3 linked regions of the Schizosaccharomyces pombe genome follow. Changing the gene in region 3 together with the main gene of any one other region gives a genetic interaction. Each region holds a gene or a part of one and is shown on either strand. Other genes may lie near its edges. The genes, in order: ubr1, rps23 and ofd1.

Region 1 (8,134 bases), 170 kb from region 3:
AGCCTGGAATTTGTCTGATACAGGGCAAATACGAGAAAGGAAAGGAAGCTCAATAAAAATTAATAGAACGCCCTCAATGATAGTCAAAGCTGAGAAAAGAACGACAAGGGTAACGTGAAAAAGGTTGACAATACCTAGGATAATGCAAACTGAAGGTAGTAGGTTAGCAGATCTGCCTTTTAATGTTAAATGTCAATGGACCATAATTTGTGTGCAGTGAAATGAGAAGTAATCTGATTCAATAAACTTGATTGTCTGCAAAATAAAAAAATTGAGGGACATATACATTCTCATCAAACCAAAAATACTTTTGAACACTCACTTGCTACACCTTAACTCTTTATGCTCATAAACTCTCTTCACAGCTATCAGAAAGTACAAAGCAATCAATACAAGAAGAAGAGAATATCACAAACATTAAAAAGAATAACCAAATTACGCGATTGAAATTCTTTACATACGAAAAATTGAGAGAATTCCAAGCCACTGTGCATAAATACTACAATAAGTTAGTAACATTTCGCTGTTAAAGCAACTGATTTCGCATACGAAAAATTGTAGCTTTTGAGCTCTCCCAAAAACGTTGTCTTTGCTCTGTCAACTATTATAGACTCAAACATGTTGAAAAGTGTAGTTCAGAAATCGTCTTTGTTCTGATGCTGGTTAGATGTCAGTTCATGTCAGTTTATGATGTTTAGCTCGTTGTTATTTGGCGAAGCGAAATTAGTATTTGTTATTCTTTTTAATAACAAAGTGGCACGCAGCGTCAGGGTAACCCAAGTAACAGTTCGAATATGTACTATAGTTAGCTAGGTAAACAAACAATAGCCAGTTGTAAACAATCATTTCATCCATATTTCCGAATATGTAAGCTTTTTAATAAGTTATACAATCTCTATAGTTAATACGAGACTAGAAGTACTAATGAATTTAAGTTTTCTTTAATTTAAAATCAACTGTAGCGACAAAATTTCCTTTCCAAGAATTCACATCACTATTTAAGTAATTTGTTGAAATAGTACATTCAAAAAAACCACAATTATGTTTGATAACGTTAAGCTACCATTTCTTACTGCTAACCAGCAATACAACAAAGGATTGCTTTCAAAGCATTATGCAATTATTTTTTCCCTTAATAATTACATATTATCCAAAGAGTACACATTGCAAAAGATAAAGCAGAAACATCATTGCCCATTTTCTTCTTTGTATGCTGTTCTCGCAACAAAAATCATATCACTGATGAATACAGAAGCAAATAGATGAAATTATTTCAATGATTGTTAATTAAGGACGATAAAATAGCTGCTCTCCATTTTTTTGCTTTTCATTAGCACTCCTGCTTATTTTTTGGGTTTCTTCTCAGCGGGTGTCAAATCTGTAATCATTGTGGTTCACTAGAGGACAGTTACTCTTTTTCCTTGTATCCAGTTTTTTTATCAACGGTATTTATGGATTTCTTATTTTCTCTCTTGCTCATCTTTTCTGAGTAGACACTAGGTTCACTTGTTTTAGAAAGCGGTTTCGCGCCTCTTCTCCATTCTGGAGCTTGAGTTTTAGGGAAATTATACTTAAAGTCTTTTTTAGAATCTATTGAAGAATAAGTTTTATCCAGATGTTTAACAGAATCCTTCGAGATACGCTTTTCGCCAACACTATCATAATCATGCTTTAAACTCTCCGCTTTATGATCATTCTTCTCCTTTTTCTTGTTAGAAAGTGGTCTTTCTAATTTTTCTTTTTCTAATTCTGAAATTGGAGGCCTATCGATCGATTTAGAAGTTGAAGCATCGTTACTCAATTGCAGTTTCTTCATTTGCTTCTCTAAGGAAGCGAAGTTTCCTCTTCCTGGTCTATATCTTTTGATATCTTCAGGTGCAGTATATCCTGGTTTAACAGCTCTTTCACGCCTCACGCTACCATCTTTTCGCCTGCTCTCTGGAATTATCCATTTGCCATCAACCAATCGTGCTCTAAATAAAAACTTTAGTCAACTTAATAAAAAATTTAATAAGCCATACCCTGAAAAACTTCCATTGGTTTCCATAAATTAGTATATACTCTACTAACACGCTGGAAGTTCAAGTTTGGTTTTCGAAGTACTTATACTATTCCTACCTAAGAATTACTTTTCACAACAACACAGTCCTGTCATTACGGTATTTACACTAAAAGGACTTTCTCGTTCTATATGTTATTCTTTATTTTATCTATTTAAAAAGTTATTATTTGTAGCATGCCATGTTACAAGACGAGTCTAGCAGATCGTTGCCTAGAAGCGCATTGATTCGGAGACGGCTTTCATTATTTTTACAGTCTCATGCATTGATGTATTCATTTCTATGGTCAGAATCTGCTAAAAAATCCCTTCTGAATGAAGTCTTTTCTGCGCTTCTCGGATATGACCATACCTTGTGGAATACATTGCTTCCAGAGAGACCAACCATCGATGCCTCCTTTCTTCTCCGTCGTGCTCAAGGACACAGTGAGGGAGATGAGTATCGTCATGGAACCTGTGAGTCAAAATGTGGCCATATATTTCGAAAGGGTGAAGTATTCTATCGATGCAAAACGTGTAGTGTTGATAGCAATTCAGCGCTGTGCGTGAAATGTTTTCGTGCAACTAGTCATAAGGATCATGAAACTTCGTTTACAGTTAGTGCCGGTAGCGGCGGTTGTTGTGATTGTGGTAATGCAGCTGCATGGATTGGGGATGTGAGTTGCAAAATACATTCACATGAAGAAGATGCTACGATTAGCAACGATATGATAGACGAAATTCCGGAAAAATTAGAAAACAGTATCCAAACAACAATTGATTGTGTTCTTGACTTCGTACTGGATGTTTTTTCCTGTAGTCCTGAAAATCTCAAAAAAATGCCCACCTTGGAATCGATTTTGCAGGATGAGAAAACTTCGCGTCTCAGTGAAAATAAATACGGCGATATTGATGATTCTTGCAATATGTATTCGTTAGTACTGTGGAATGATGAAAAACACTCCTTCAAGCAATTTTATGAACAAATTACTACTGCATTAGAATTGCCGAATAACGTTTTTGGAAAGAAAATGGCAAATATTATTAATGACATCGGTAGAGCTTGCATCGTTACTGAGACTAATATAAAAGAGCTTCTTAAAATTGGTCAAAAGCTTGCCCAGATCAATCTAGCTGTTTCAATTCGTTCTATGCGTGACATTTTTAGAGAAGAATCTTGTGCTGTTTTACTAGAATGGCTTGCTGATATAGCAGGAAGCAGTATTTGTGGGAAAAGAAATTATTTTAGCTCTGTTATATGCAAAGAACTTGTTCGACCTTGGAATTGCGGACTTCATAATTCTGATCTTACTTTTAGGCTCTCCCTTAGAAGTCTTGCTCTTCCTGAAATTGTGGCCATTGACAGTCCTGATATATTTTTGAATGAAGATCACATTAACTCGTCAGGTCCATCTGACACTTCTAGTCATATGCTAGAAACTGACGAGTCTTCTATTCATTCTAGACATTGGTATCCTTCTAATTCTCTTCCGGATGTCCTTTCGTATGCCTCCAGAGTAAGATTTGATTATTTTTTTCTTTACGATTTAAAACTTTGGAAGAGCTTGCGTTACAAATTACAGGAGTTGTACTTGGGATACTTTATCACTCAGCCTGGATTTAAGGAAATTATGGGAGCCAGGATTGCCATTTCTTATAGAAGGTTGGCAGAACTTTTTCTTCTGTTGGACCGTGAACCTGAACACTCAGTCATTTTTTTTTCAATGCAAATATTTACCGTGGCAGACGTTGCCAAACTGTTGGTTACAGAGTATGATTTCTTGACTACAATTAATGCAACTTTGTACACTTTTTTCACCTATAAAAAACTTAATACGCCGAACTATGTCGATCAGCATGCCATGATAAGAACAGATTCGGCTGCCTTTCATTCACGTAGGTATATTCACATTTTCCATCACATTCAATTTATGTTAAGCATTCCATGTGTTGCTGAAATTGTTCGTGAAGACCTTAAATTTTTGAAGCAATATGCCGATTTTTTTAACCTGTTTCAAGGTATGTGCCCCTATACACGAGCAGTATCGCAGCATGTTGAATGGGAAAATGATTCATGGATGTACGTTTTGAACGTTAGTTTACAAGTTGCTAAACTCTGTAGACATGTTGGAAATGTCTTTATGGAGCTCAACACGAATAAATTAGCCAATGCTATAAACTACCTAATTTCCCTAATTCTTTATCCTAAGGCAAGAAATGAGTCTTGGACCAATACTGAATCATTGACTACAGGAATTACTGTTGATGAAAGAGGTAATTCGAAATTAATAGAGTATGATATTGCTCTTCAACCGGTATCGTTCCATCATCCTTTACACTGGTTGCTAGTGTACCTTTTATCATTTTACGTTGAACGAGACAACTATAAATTACTATGGACTCAGCTAGATTTACTTGCGGTTACGGATCACCCACTTCGTGTATGCGCTTGGTTAAGTCAAATGCGCGCAAAGCTTTGGATAAGGAATGGTACAACGTTACGTGATCAAGCTCACCATTATAGAAATCTAAGTTTTCATGAATACACTTTTGATTTAGACGTTTTGTTGCTTCAATTAACTTTAACATATGGCGATCCTGATGCTATCTTACCTTCTTTTATTTCTCGATTTCAATTAGAAGATCAAATGTATGGTCGGTTTTTTGTACCTCATAAACATTATGATGTATCCCAAGTCACGATAATGATGGAGGAGTTTTTGCTGCTTTTAATATCCATTGTATGTAATACTGCTGTCCTCGACCATTGGGATATTACAAGACGAATAGAATATGGAATCGCTCATATCCTTTGTTTTCGTCCTTTACCTTATTCCGAGATTACCAAAAGGACATGTGAGCATTTATTGGAGCACAAGCAATTTGAAAGCACTCTCAAGAAAGTCGCTACTTTTCGGAATGCCGAGGGGATCAATGATAGTGGTTCCTTCACGTTAAAAGATGAATACTTTGATTATGTAGATCCATTCAATATTCATTACTCTAGAAATCAACGTGAGGAAGCAGAGAATATTTTACGTAGACGGTATTCAAAACAGCATTCCAAACATTTGGAATCTGTAGTATATGAGGAATATCATCCGATATTGCATTCGAACATTACAATTCCCATATTACAAAGCGATTCTTTTGTTGGGATTTTATGGCACACTATCGTCTACGCTTATATTTATCCATACGATCAAGGAAAACTAGAAGGCTTGGTTAATACTGCATTACATGCATGTCTCCTAGTTTTAATGAGTGAAAAAGGATCTGAACCTATTTTTTCCAAAAAAATATGTGAGAATCGATTTCCAGTTGTCGAGGGATTACAGGAATATTGCAACTCTCCGGATGTTACGTTGTTCAGTGTTTTGTGTCAAATGAAAAACCACAGAAACTTTGTGTATGTCAAAGAAAAGATTTCTTTGATAATGAAAATCTTAAAAAGTGAAGTTCCGTTATTGTATGAACCTGTATATGCCGAAACTTTGAGTATATCCTCTTCGAAAATAGTTCAGTCGTTATCGGATGCCGAACAGCAGGAACAACATTTAGCTAAGGTGCGCATGGCAAAGGAACGACAGGCACGGATAATGGAACAGTTCCGAATGCAGCAAAATAAGTTTTTAGAAAATCATGCTCTTTTTGAAGCATCGGACTGTGAAATGGACGAAGCGGATGAATTTTCTGTAACCAGTTCAGTTAGCACTAAGTTATTCTTGGACCCACCTATTGATACTTGTCTTCTATGTCAGGAAGAACTGAAAGATAAGCGCCCCTATGGTACTTTGGTATTTGTTCTTAGGAGCTCGGTACTCAGACTATTTCCTGCTGATGATGCCAACTACGTTTCTGAAGTGTTGGATATTCCTGACAGCTTGGATCATGAGATTCAAGAAAGACCTTTTGGATTGGCTGGCAAACGAAAAAAGGTATTAGATTCTACAGAAGCTTACGATTATGATAATTACTATTATGAAAAAAAGGGCAATGAACTCCATCAGTTAAAGGACTCTTTTAATGGATTTCCCCCTGATCAGCTGGATCGTGGATTGCATGCCACTGGATGTGGTCATTTCATGCATATCGATTGTTTTAAAAATCATATTGCTACTGTCACACTTGCAACTCGAGCCAATCCTTACAGAAATCACCCTCATAATTTAAGCATGAAAGAATTCCTTTGCCCTCTATGCAAAGCATTATGTAATACTATTTTTCCAATCTTATGGCGGCCTAAGGAAGAGATTAATTTTCAAGAAGCTGGAGTACTTACCGCTCCTTTGAAAAATTGGCTGGTTTCTAAAACATTTTCATTTAATAAAGACTTAAATCAGCAACTTCTTGACATAGAAACCTCCCCTTCTGAGCACACACAGTCGTACAATTTAAATCTGCTTGATGTATTACAACACACCTTACGAGACTCGTTGAAAGATATATATACCCTCAATACTGGTGCTGATAATTCCAGTGATAACGTTGAAGAAAATGCGGATAACTTATTCCAATCGAGCGTATTGGATCATGTCCATTTTAAGAGTGTTGTAAATAATGAAGTTCCTGCCGATGAACGTCTCGCTATTTCAGATGATATATTTGAGCTTTATCGGAGGCTTGACGATGTAATAGATCTTAATTCTTCTTTATACTCCGATGATTTTATTCCAGTGAACGGTAAATTGCATAATGTTGTTAAACTCTTTTCATACAGCCTTTGCCAAGTTGAAGCATCTACTAGAGGACACATAAAATGTTCAAGTATTCCAGCGGATATTTGGGTGCATAATCTTGGAAAAAATCAGCAAGTTTTTTTAAGGATTTTATCTGAATCTATCAAAACTTATACTTTGTTATGTGCACATGATTCACAGAAGCGTATTGGGGGTTCAATTCAAGAGTTTGAATTTATTAGTTTCTGCCAACAAAAAAGGATATTTGGGCGACTATTGCCCTCTCTAGATTCACCGGTTACCAAATCTATTACTGATGATAGAGTTGAGCCGTTACTTGTGAAGGATACATTTCGAGAATTCGCCGAAGCCAGTGTCTCTGGTTTATTATCATGTGACGAATCGTTTCACTACTTGACGCAATTATACTATACTGCCGATATAGTTCGAAACTTATGGATTCTTTTGTCACAAAGAAACTCTTTACTGAAATGTATGGAATCAGTTGAATTTGAAGCCTTTGACTATGAGCAGCTAAAGGGGTTTGAGCACTTAGTTATCCAAATTTGGAAAAGTCTTCGTGTCGACGGAGCAGGATTAATCAATTTTGATTGTTGTACGGAGGATGATCTAAATAATCCTCATCTTTTGTTTACACTGTATAAACTATTGGAAAGGTTTTCTCTAATCTTCCTTCGAAAATGTGCTTTGCTTTGGTATTGCCGCTATGGAGTTTCATTTGAGACGCAACCGAATTTAAACTTTCAAAATTCAGAATTATCACGTTTACAAACAAAAATGCATATTCCAGGTGTTATTGAATTATCTAATCATCTTTGTCTTACGGCATCTTCCACAGAATGGAGCCTTATAAAGCACTGGTGTAATTTCTTTACAGAGACTGGTCCTCTATGCGATTTTCCTCGCGCTTATTACCCTGGAATTTATGAACTAGTTTCTTTACCGTATGAATTGGATAAAGTCTTTGAGTTACTATTGGCCAGGCGATGCTCGAAATGTTTAACTGAACCTATGGAACCAGCGATATGTTTATTTTGTGGGAAGCTCTTATGCTTCCAAAGTCATTGTTGTTCCTTTAATGGTATTGGAGAATGTAATCTTCATATGCAACAATGCGCTTCTGACATTGGAATTTTTCTTATTGTCAAAAAATGCGCTATTCTCTACCTCAATCCACCTGTAGGAAGCTTCTCTGTAGCTCCATTTTTGGATGCGTATGGAGAGACAGATTTGGGATTGCGTCGTGGCCGCTCTCAATATCTATCACAAAAACGTTATGATGAAACAGTACGAACGATGTGGCTAAACGGATCTATTCCTTCTTATATTGCTCGACAACTGGATGCGAATCCAGACACCGGAGGTTGGGAAACACTTTAGGCTAAACAATGGGAGT
Region 2 (3,125 bases), on a different chromosome or scaffold from region 3:
TTTGCTTTTCGCATATCAGTTATGTATGCCGTAACAAGAATTTTACCTGCAATACAAAATAACATCATCTTTCTCGAGTACAGTCGAACTTCTAAACAGGGTATGTGGAGTATTCTTTCTCCATGTATACTTATTGCAGTCTATACAAACCTTCTATTACAGCACTTATACCCAACACCCTCTTTCACTTCTCCAGTGAATCAAATATTGTGTTCCGCTGAAATTTGGCGTTGGGTAAGTGCTATTTTAACTCTCCTCTTATACGCCATTGAACTAGCTTATAGCAAAGAGTCTGACACAGGCCAGGCTCTTGCTAGCCATTTCAAACTTGACTAATCTGCAATTGATTTTCCTAAGGTTATTTAATTCACTCGTTTCTCCTTTCATTTTTTACATCTAATTCTAGTCTACACTGTTAATTTTTCATTACTTGATAATTGAATATAAACGGCTTAGTTTACAAGTTTAGAATTTCTGGTTACATCCCTGAATATACTAGGAAGTCACTAAGAGGTATTTGTCCCAAGTATATGTAAGTTAGACCCATAAAAGACAGAAGTATATCCCCTGTCACATGATTCTAATTTACTACGGAAAAACTACTTAGACTACTAAAACTAATATCATTTTACGACGCAGTAATGAGACAAACAACTTTTTATTAAGTTCGTTTAAGCTCTAGGCTTTTCCTTCTTCTCATGGAAAAGAGCAGAAAGACCAACACCGGCAACCTTGACGACCTTGAAACGGACACCGGGAATATCACCCTTAGCCTTGCCCTTACGACCGAAACCAGAAAGAAGAACTTCGTCGTTTTCATCAACGAAGTTGAGACAACCATCGTGGGGAACGAAAGCGGTAACTTTCTTACCATTCTTGATCAACTGAACACGAACACATTTACGAATAGCAGAGTTAGGTTGCTTAGCTTCTACACCAATCTTTTCGACAACGATACCCTTAGCATGAGACGATCCACCGAAAGGTGATGACTTGTAAGCGGTTCCCAATAAGCGCTTCTTGTAATGAGCATCGGCCCAACGCTCCTCACGGCGATGATTGCGAAGCTTACGAGCGGCGTTCAATCCTGCGGGTTTTCCCATTTTGTAGTATAGAGGTTGCGGCGAACTGTGTGTTGGATTTAGGTGAACTTAGCTTTATGTCCAAAACAGTCACAAACCCTACCCTTCTTATATAATATAGTACGCAACGCTTCACTAAGTAAATTGTTGATGCCCATACTTACTAAAATTTTACTACATTACAAAAAAGAAAAAACATCTAAAACAAAAAACATACGTCTTTTTGATTATTTTGGAAAAAGGAGTTGCAAGTACTTTGCAAAAGGTTTGGTGTGTAATATTTAAGCTCAATTGGTATTTATTTGTTTCGTACTTGGAATACTTCCAAGATATTTAGTCAAAGTTTTGTGAGATTTAAAAAAAAAAAAAGATTTGATATGACTGAACTTATAAATTCCGAGCCAACACTCTTTTTGTTCCCGAATAAAGAGGATTCAAAGCAATTGGTTGAAAAAGCTATTGAGGTTTTCTCAAATATAAAAATCCCATCTACAAGTCCCATCCAAACAATTGTCACAAAAGGATTAGATAATTGGCAAATATATAACCAACTAGCATTAGCTGCCAAGTATGCATTAGATGATCTCCCTCAAGTTGATGTTGAAAACGAAGACGAAGAAGAAGATAGCATTACTTCTTTCCAGGATGAGGATGATGAAACAAGTCATCAGGAACTCTCTGACAATAGTGAAATGAACAATCGGGATGATGCTGATGATGAATTTTTAGGGTTCTCTGGTCCAGAAAATCTAGAAGATGTCGACGAAAGTTCTGCCGAAGATGTTTCAGGAGATGAAGCTGAAATTATGAATGAAGAAGGACAACAAATCGAACAGAAAAAAGACGCATTTGGACTTAATGATGGTTTTTTTGATATTGATAATTTTAACAAGCAAACCTTAGCTTTAGAAGAGGAAGCAGTCGAAGAGGGTGTCCTCGGCGATGAAGATGACGGTATTGACTTGTTAATGGATCCCGATGAGAATATGGAAGACTCTGAAGATGAATCAAATGGTCCTCAGGCTGACTCCATTATGTACGAAGATTTTTTTGGTCCAAAAACAGCGGCCGGTCGCCGTGAACTAAAAAAGAAAAAGGCCGAATCCAAAAGAAAAAGAACAAGTAAACCGGATTTCAAAAATGATGTGCAACAAAATGTTATTGAAGAAAATAATGAGAGCTCTGACAATGAGTATGCTACCTTTGATCGAGTGAAGAAAGATTTATTTGCTAGTGACGAAGAAGACGATGTTTCAGCTGATCAATTATCTTCTTATGAGCGCGATAAAGCCCGTTTGACTCAGCAAATTCGTGAGCTCGAGGCTGAAAACGTTGCCAAGAAGTCCTGGACCATGATGGGGGAGGCAACGTCTAAAGGACGACCTTCTAATTCACTGTTAGACGTTGATTTGGAATTTGAAACTGGTGCTAAACCTGTCCCTGTACAAACGGAAGAGACTACTGAGACATTAGAAGATTTAATTAAAAACCGAATTATTTCCAAAACATTTGATGATGTACCTAAACGCGCGCCAGTTGCTGTTACTGAATTTCGACCAAGCGAATTATTCGAGTTAAACGAAAATAAGTCTCAGCGTTCTTTAGCAGAAGAATATGAAGAAGAATTCCTTAAAAAGAGCAACGCCGACACATATAAGAGTGAAGCTGATAAAAAGAAAGAAAAAGAACATGAAGAAATCAAGGCATTGTTTTCGGAAGTCAGCCGCACTTTAGATTCTCTTGCTTCTTGGCATTATGTTCCCCCTCCTCCTGAGTCTACTGTTGAAATTGTTTCTAATGCACCCACTTTAGCAATGGAGGACGTTCAGCCAACTGCTGCCTCTGACACTATGGCATTGGCTCCTCAAGAAGTTTATAAACCGTCTAATGAGAATCGTGAAGGTGAAACTATTACTCGGTCAGGTATCGCCATTTCATCGACTGAAATGGACCACCAACAAAAGCAAGCACGCCGCAGGCGGGTGCGTAGAAAACATGCTGAGAAACGTAAGCAAATGGCTGAGAAAAGAAGGAATTCCGGTA
Region 3 (4,345 bases):
GACGCATACTTGGCTGGCACAAAAGTTTGTCCTTATTCCATACCTTTGTGGCTTTTGCTAGCCAAACTTGAAGAAAAGCAGTCCGTTATACGCGCGAGAGTTGTGTTTGATAGGGCTAAGGTTAAAAATCCTAAGAATGAATTTTTATGGCTTGAACTTATAAAAATGGAACTCCGGGCGGGGAATATTTCACAAGTTCGTGCAGCCCTTGCTAAGGCCTTGCAGGAATGCCCATCTTCGGGTTTGCTGTGGACGGAGGCTATATGGCTTGAACCTCGCGCACAGCGTAAAACTCGTGCTACAGATGCTTTAAGGAAATGTGAAGGCAATGCACATTTACTTTGCACCATCGCCAGGATGCTGTGGCTGGAAAAAAAAGCAGATAAGGCGCGTAGTTGGTTTTTAAAAGCTGTTAAGGCTGACCAAGATAACGGAGATGTGTGGTGTTGGTTTTATAAGTATAGCTTAGAGGCTGGGAACGAAGACCAACAGAAAGAAGTGCTTACAAGTTTTGAAACCGCTGATCCTCATCATGGTTATTTTTGGCCCAGTATTACTAAAGATATCAAAAATTCTCGGAAAACTCCGCAGGAACTATTACATCTTGCCATAAATGTGTTATGATTACGACAAAAATGATGACTGTAACATATTGGATCTATTATTTATCTTAAAATTAATGTTTAAATTGGTATTCGAATTTACTTTAGATATTTGTAAATTTACGGACTTTTTAATAAAAAAGAACGATTTTTAAACAGGTTCGATTGAACACTTACTTTAAATCAACAAGAATACCAGTTAAGAAAGCAGTAAAAGTGTAAACCAAAACTTTTTATGTAATACACACTATCAACACGAAAGTGGGTTTTAAAAAACACAAGGGAAAAACTTTCAAAAATAAGACAAAAAATTAGAGAAAAAAAAATTAAGTAACCCCTTTTAAGTATATGTTGCCTTTACTCAGCAACGGGATTCCATTGTGAATATATATCCCAGCGACTAGATTCGGCTTGACGCGACACATATTTGACAAATTGAAGGACACCTTCATCTCTATAAACCAAAGAAAAAACATTCCAAGCGGCTGGCAAAGAAAGCAAAATACTGTCATCTTGCTGATCACCCCTATACACAGCAGCATCTACATCAGGATCTTCATCGCCAATCATATAAATATCATATGCACCATTGTCAGTATTCGCAATGCCTGTCCCCGGAGATAAGCAAAGAGTAGCTTCTAGTAAAGCTGTGTCATTCGTAGTAGCAAGCGTAAAATCGGAACCAGGGCGGAATCGTCGACCAACTTGATGAAAGGAACGAAGGGGTAAGCCACTGACAAGTTGGATCCAACGCTGAAACGCAGGAAGGCGCTGCAAATCCATGGGCAAAATAATATCAGGGCCAAACTCTTCATGATCTAAATATAGGTACCTGTGCTTATGAGGAGGAATGGCAGTTTTCCAAGGGAATGACACTTCGGAAGAATGCATAGGAGTGGGCTGCCTTTCAGCATCGATGATTCGCTTAAGGAGAGTGTTTGCAAATTCCTGATTTAAAAACTCTACTAAAACAATAACAGAATCTTGAAAAAAGCGTTTTGATAGTTTTTCAATGCCATCAGGTGTCAGGTAAAGTGGATTAATATAATTGCTTAAAATATCAGTATCCTGTTTGGATAAAGGTTCTGGCTTAACAACTGGGTAGTATGAAAACCGGGGAAGTTCTAAGTCCATTTGTTTCATTGTTAAAGACTGCAAAGTAGAAACGGTATTGTCGCAGTAATTAGCGTCATAACCAGGTTCGCCAGGCTGAGGGTAATGAAACCAGCCGGAAATAGCCATTCGAGGTTTATCTACATAAACTTCTTCAACATCATGGAATGAATGTCCGGGCTTAACTCGGAAGAAAGAGAGTTGATTCCATTGAGGAGGAATGGAGTGACAAAAATCAGCAGCAGGAAAGGATGGTTGTAATGTAGGAAACAACCGGAGTGCACCTCCATATTCGGGTTTCCAACCTTCGTCAGGTTCTACCAAGTATAAGATATAGGAAATGCACCTGGTACCAATAACATCGTCATGATTCATCAAATGGCATCCTTTTGAGTAAACATTAACAGACAAATCTTTTTTGCTAGCCGATAAAGGGCCACAGCCGGTAATCTTTTGAACGTGAGAGCGAAATTCCTCAGAGTAAAGAGCATCACGAACTTGACGCAAATACTTAAGCATGTTTTGCTCTTTCTTGTCTAATCCATCCAAGTTTGCTAGATCACCAGTTTGCCAAACACGGTAAATATCAGTTACTTTCTCTGTAAAATGTATGTTTTCCATAAGTTCCTTACGAACATTTCGAAGAAGTGTATCATTGATCAGAGGACGAATCACAACATGATTATACGGTCCATTTTTGTGATATTCCCGTGAAAGTCTTTCTGCCTCACTGGTATCTAATGCATGAGGCGCAAATCTATCCAGCACTGTTGGTTGTTGAGTATCCCCCATCCCGTTTTTATATTTGAGATTTCACCTGAATATAATGTGCAATTAGGTAAAAATTTTAGTGGTTGGCAAACTCCCAATAGTAGCAATGAAAAGCATCCCACCCATTTTTATGGACTCGGGTCTCACCATAGGTAACATTCTTGAATTATCGTAAGACTTTCTTAGACCTCCTATTACGGAGTGACTTCGGTAACTGTGAATTTGTTTAATGATAGGGAACGCAGGTTAATTCTTCGCTTGCTTAAAACAACGTGCTATCCGTAATTCTGCCTATTGCTATATATTTGGATAGTAACGCTTCGAGCTTAAAGAACAGTATAGTCCCAAAATAAGGCTAAAAGAGTTTGAATCTTAAACAGTAATCTGTTTTCTTTTCCATTTTCTGATTAGTTAGATAACTTTCTTTTGATGCTTTTGAATCAAATAAATGAATTATTCAAGATGTTTGTGATTTAAAGTACTATTTTTTTATTCCTTAAAAAAACCGTAGCTAGTTTTATTACCACAACTCGCATTTCAGGTTTCGGAAATTAATCTCATTTCTTTTTAAAAATTAATATTCAATAAAGGGAACAATTTGTTTCTATACTTCTATTTCAAAACTTATGTCTATGGCCAAATATTGCATTAAATACTTTGCCTGAACAAATTGGGTTATTGACCCCCATATAAGGTTATAGTTATTAGTTGTATAGTAGTCAAGATATTAATAAACCCTAAGTGGGGTTATTATAAAGGTCAAAACGCAATTCAAGCAGTCTATAACTTACAAGGAAAATTGTCCCAAGTGGGGGCCGAAATCAATAACAATAAGAAATCCCAGTGTTTGATTAAATAGTAAAAAAAGAAAAGAAAGTAAATTAGAGAAGTACGATTATTAACTATCCATTTAACTATTTTTTCCTTTTTTTTTTTTTTTTTTTTAAATAATATGCTACTGATCGTTACGCGCAACTTTATGGATAACTTATACTATACTTCATGAACTATTGTGATTTCCTGAGATTACTCGATGGCTTTTATATCTTGGTCATATTTTATAATCAGTTATCCCATAACAAAGATTTAAAGCTGTACGGCCCTTCAATTGTTAATATCTGCATGAAAACTTGTTTACATTTGTACAAAGCGAAATGATGCACTATCAAATATTGTAGAAAATTTTAAAAATTATAATTATGTGCAAATGCTCTTCTTCCAAGATTTTGAAAATTGCTATTAATTCTTCGACTTGCTAATAAGAGCATATTTGCAAATATATAGAATGAGGAACGAAACCGTATCATAACATAATGAATCCAACAATTTTTAATTGTGTACCTTTTATTATAGAATCGTTGTTAGTAATATCCTTATTATTTTTTCCTCTCACTGTTTCAGTCTCAAATGATCCAATGTAACCAAAGAGTACCCTCATGCATGGTGCATCACTTCGACACCAAAAAACTAGAAAAACAATAATTTTTTATTTTTGTGTTACATTTTATTCCCTCCATTTGCTGACTCAGGAGGATTGGCCAACTTTAGAACGCAGGTCTTAATGTCTTTGAGCAAGTCCATTTTAACCGAATCGGGAATACTTTCAGTTGCAGACTGCAAGGCGCTCTCATATAGCTTTTGAAAATCAATTTTAGAATCGGAATTCACAATTCCCCGAGTGTAGTCACGTAATTGAGTTGTCCAACCGCAGGATTCAAGTTTGTATTCTAATTCATTTGCTAGCCTACATTTTTTAAATTGTTGTTTAGTTATAAAATTTTTTTTTTAAAAAAGAAAGCCTATCTTTTATACCTTTCATAATCTCCAGTTTCATATAGCTGCTCAACAATTTTCTCAGT

Evidence for each region.
Region 1: of ofd1 (region 3) and ubr1, changing one enhances a phenotype caused by changing the other (phenotypic enhancement), as found in Schizosaccharomyces pombe (one study listed by BioGRID).
Region 2: of ofd1 (region 3) and rps23, changing one suppresses a phenotype caused by changing the other (phenotypic suppression), as found in Schizosaccharomyces pombe (one study listed by BioGRID).

What each region holds. Positions count from the first base shown.
Region 1 is NC_003423.3:2,811,108-2,819,241, forward strand, and holds ubr1 (N-end-recognizing protein, UBR ubiquitin-protein ligase E3 Ubr1), read left to right. Parts: upstream 1-2,134; 5' UTR 2,135-2,241; coding exon 2,242-8,118; downstream 8,119-8,134. Other genes in the region: SPOM_SPBC32F12.12C (golgi membrane protein involved in vesicle-mediated transport), read right to left, coding at 1-149, 462-499, 550-620; protein mni1, read right to left, coding at 1,409-1,973, 2,022-2,047. UniProt on the Schizosaccharomyces pombe protein: Ubiquitin ligase protein which is a component of the N-end rule pathway. Recognizes and binds to proteins bearing specific N-terminal residues that are destabilizing according to the N-end rule, leading to their ubiquitination and subsequent degradation.
Region 2 is NC_003424.3:2,134,686-2,137,810, forward strand, and holds rps23 (40S ribosomal protein uS12), read right to left. Parts: upstream 1,126-3,125; 5' UTR 1,104-1,125; coding exon 672-1,103; 3' UTR 640-671; downstream 1-639. Other genes in the region: family protein ICE2, read left to right, coding at 1-336; mpp10 (U3 snoRNP-associated protein Mpp1), read left to right, coding at 1,460-3,125.
Region 3 is NC_003423.3:2,644,087-2,648,431, forward strand, and holds ofd1 (2-oxoglutarate and Fe(2+) dioxygenase domain-containing protein 1), read right to left. Parts: upstream 2,552-4,345; 5' UTR 2,508-2,551; coding exon 960-2,507; 3' UTR 640-959; downstream 1-639. Other genes in the region: U4/U6 x U5 tri-snRNP complex subunit Prp1, read left to right, coding at 1-624; SAGA complex deubiquitinating submodule subunit, TREX complex subunit Sus1, read right to left, coding at 3,984-4,230, 4,299-4,345.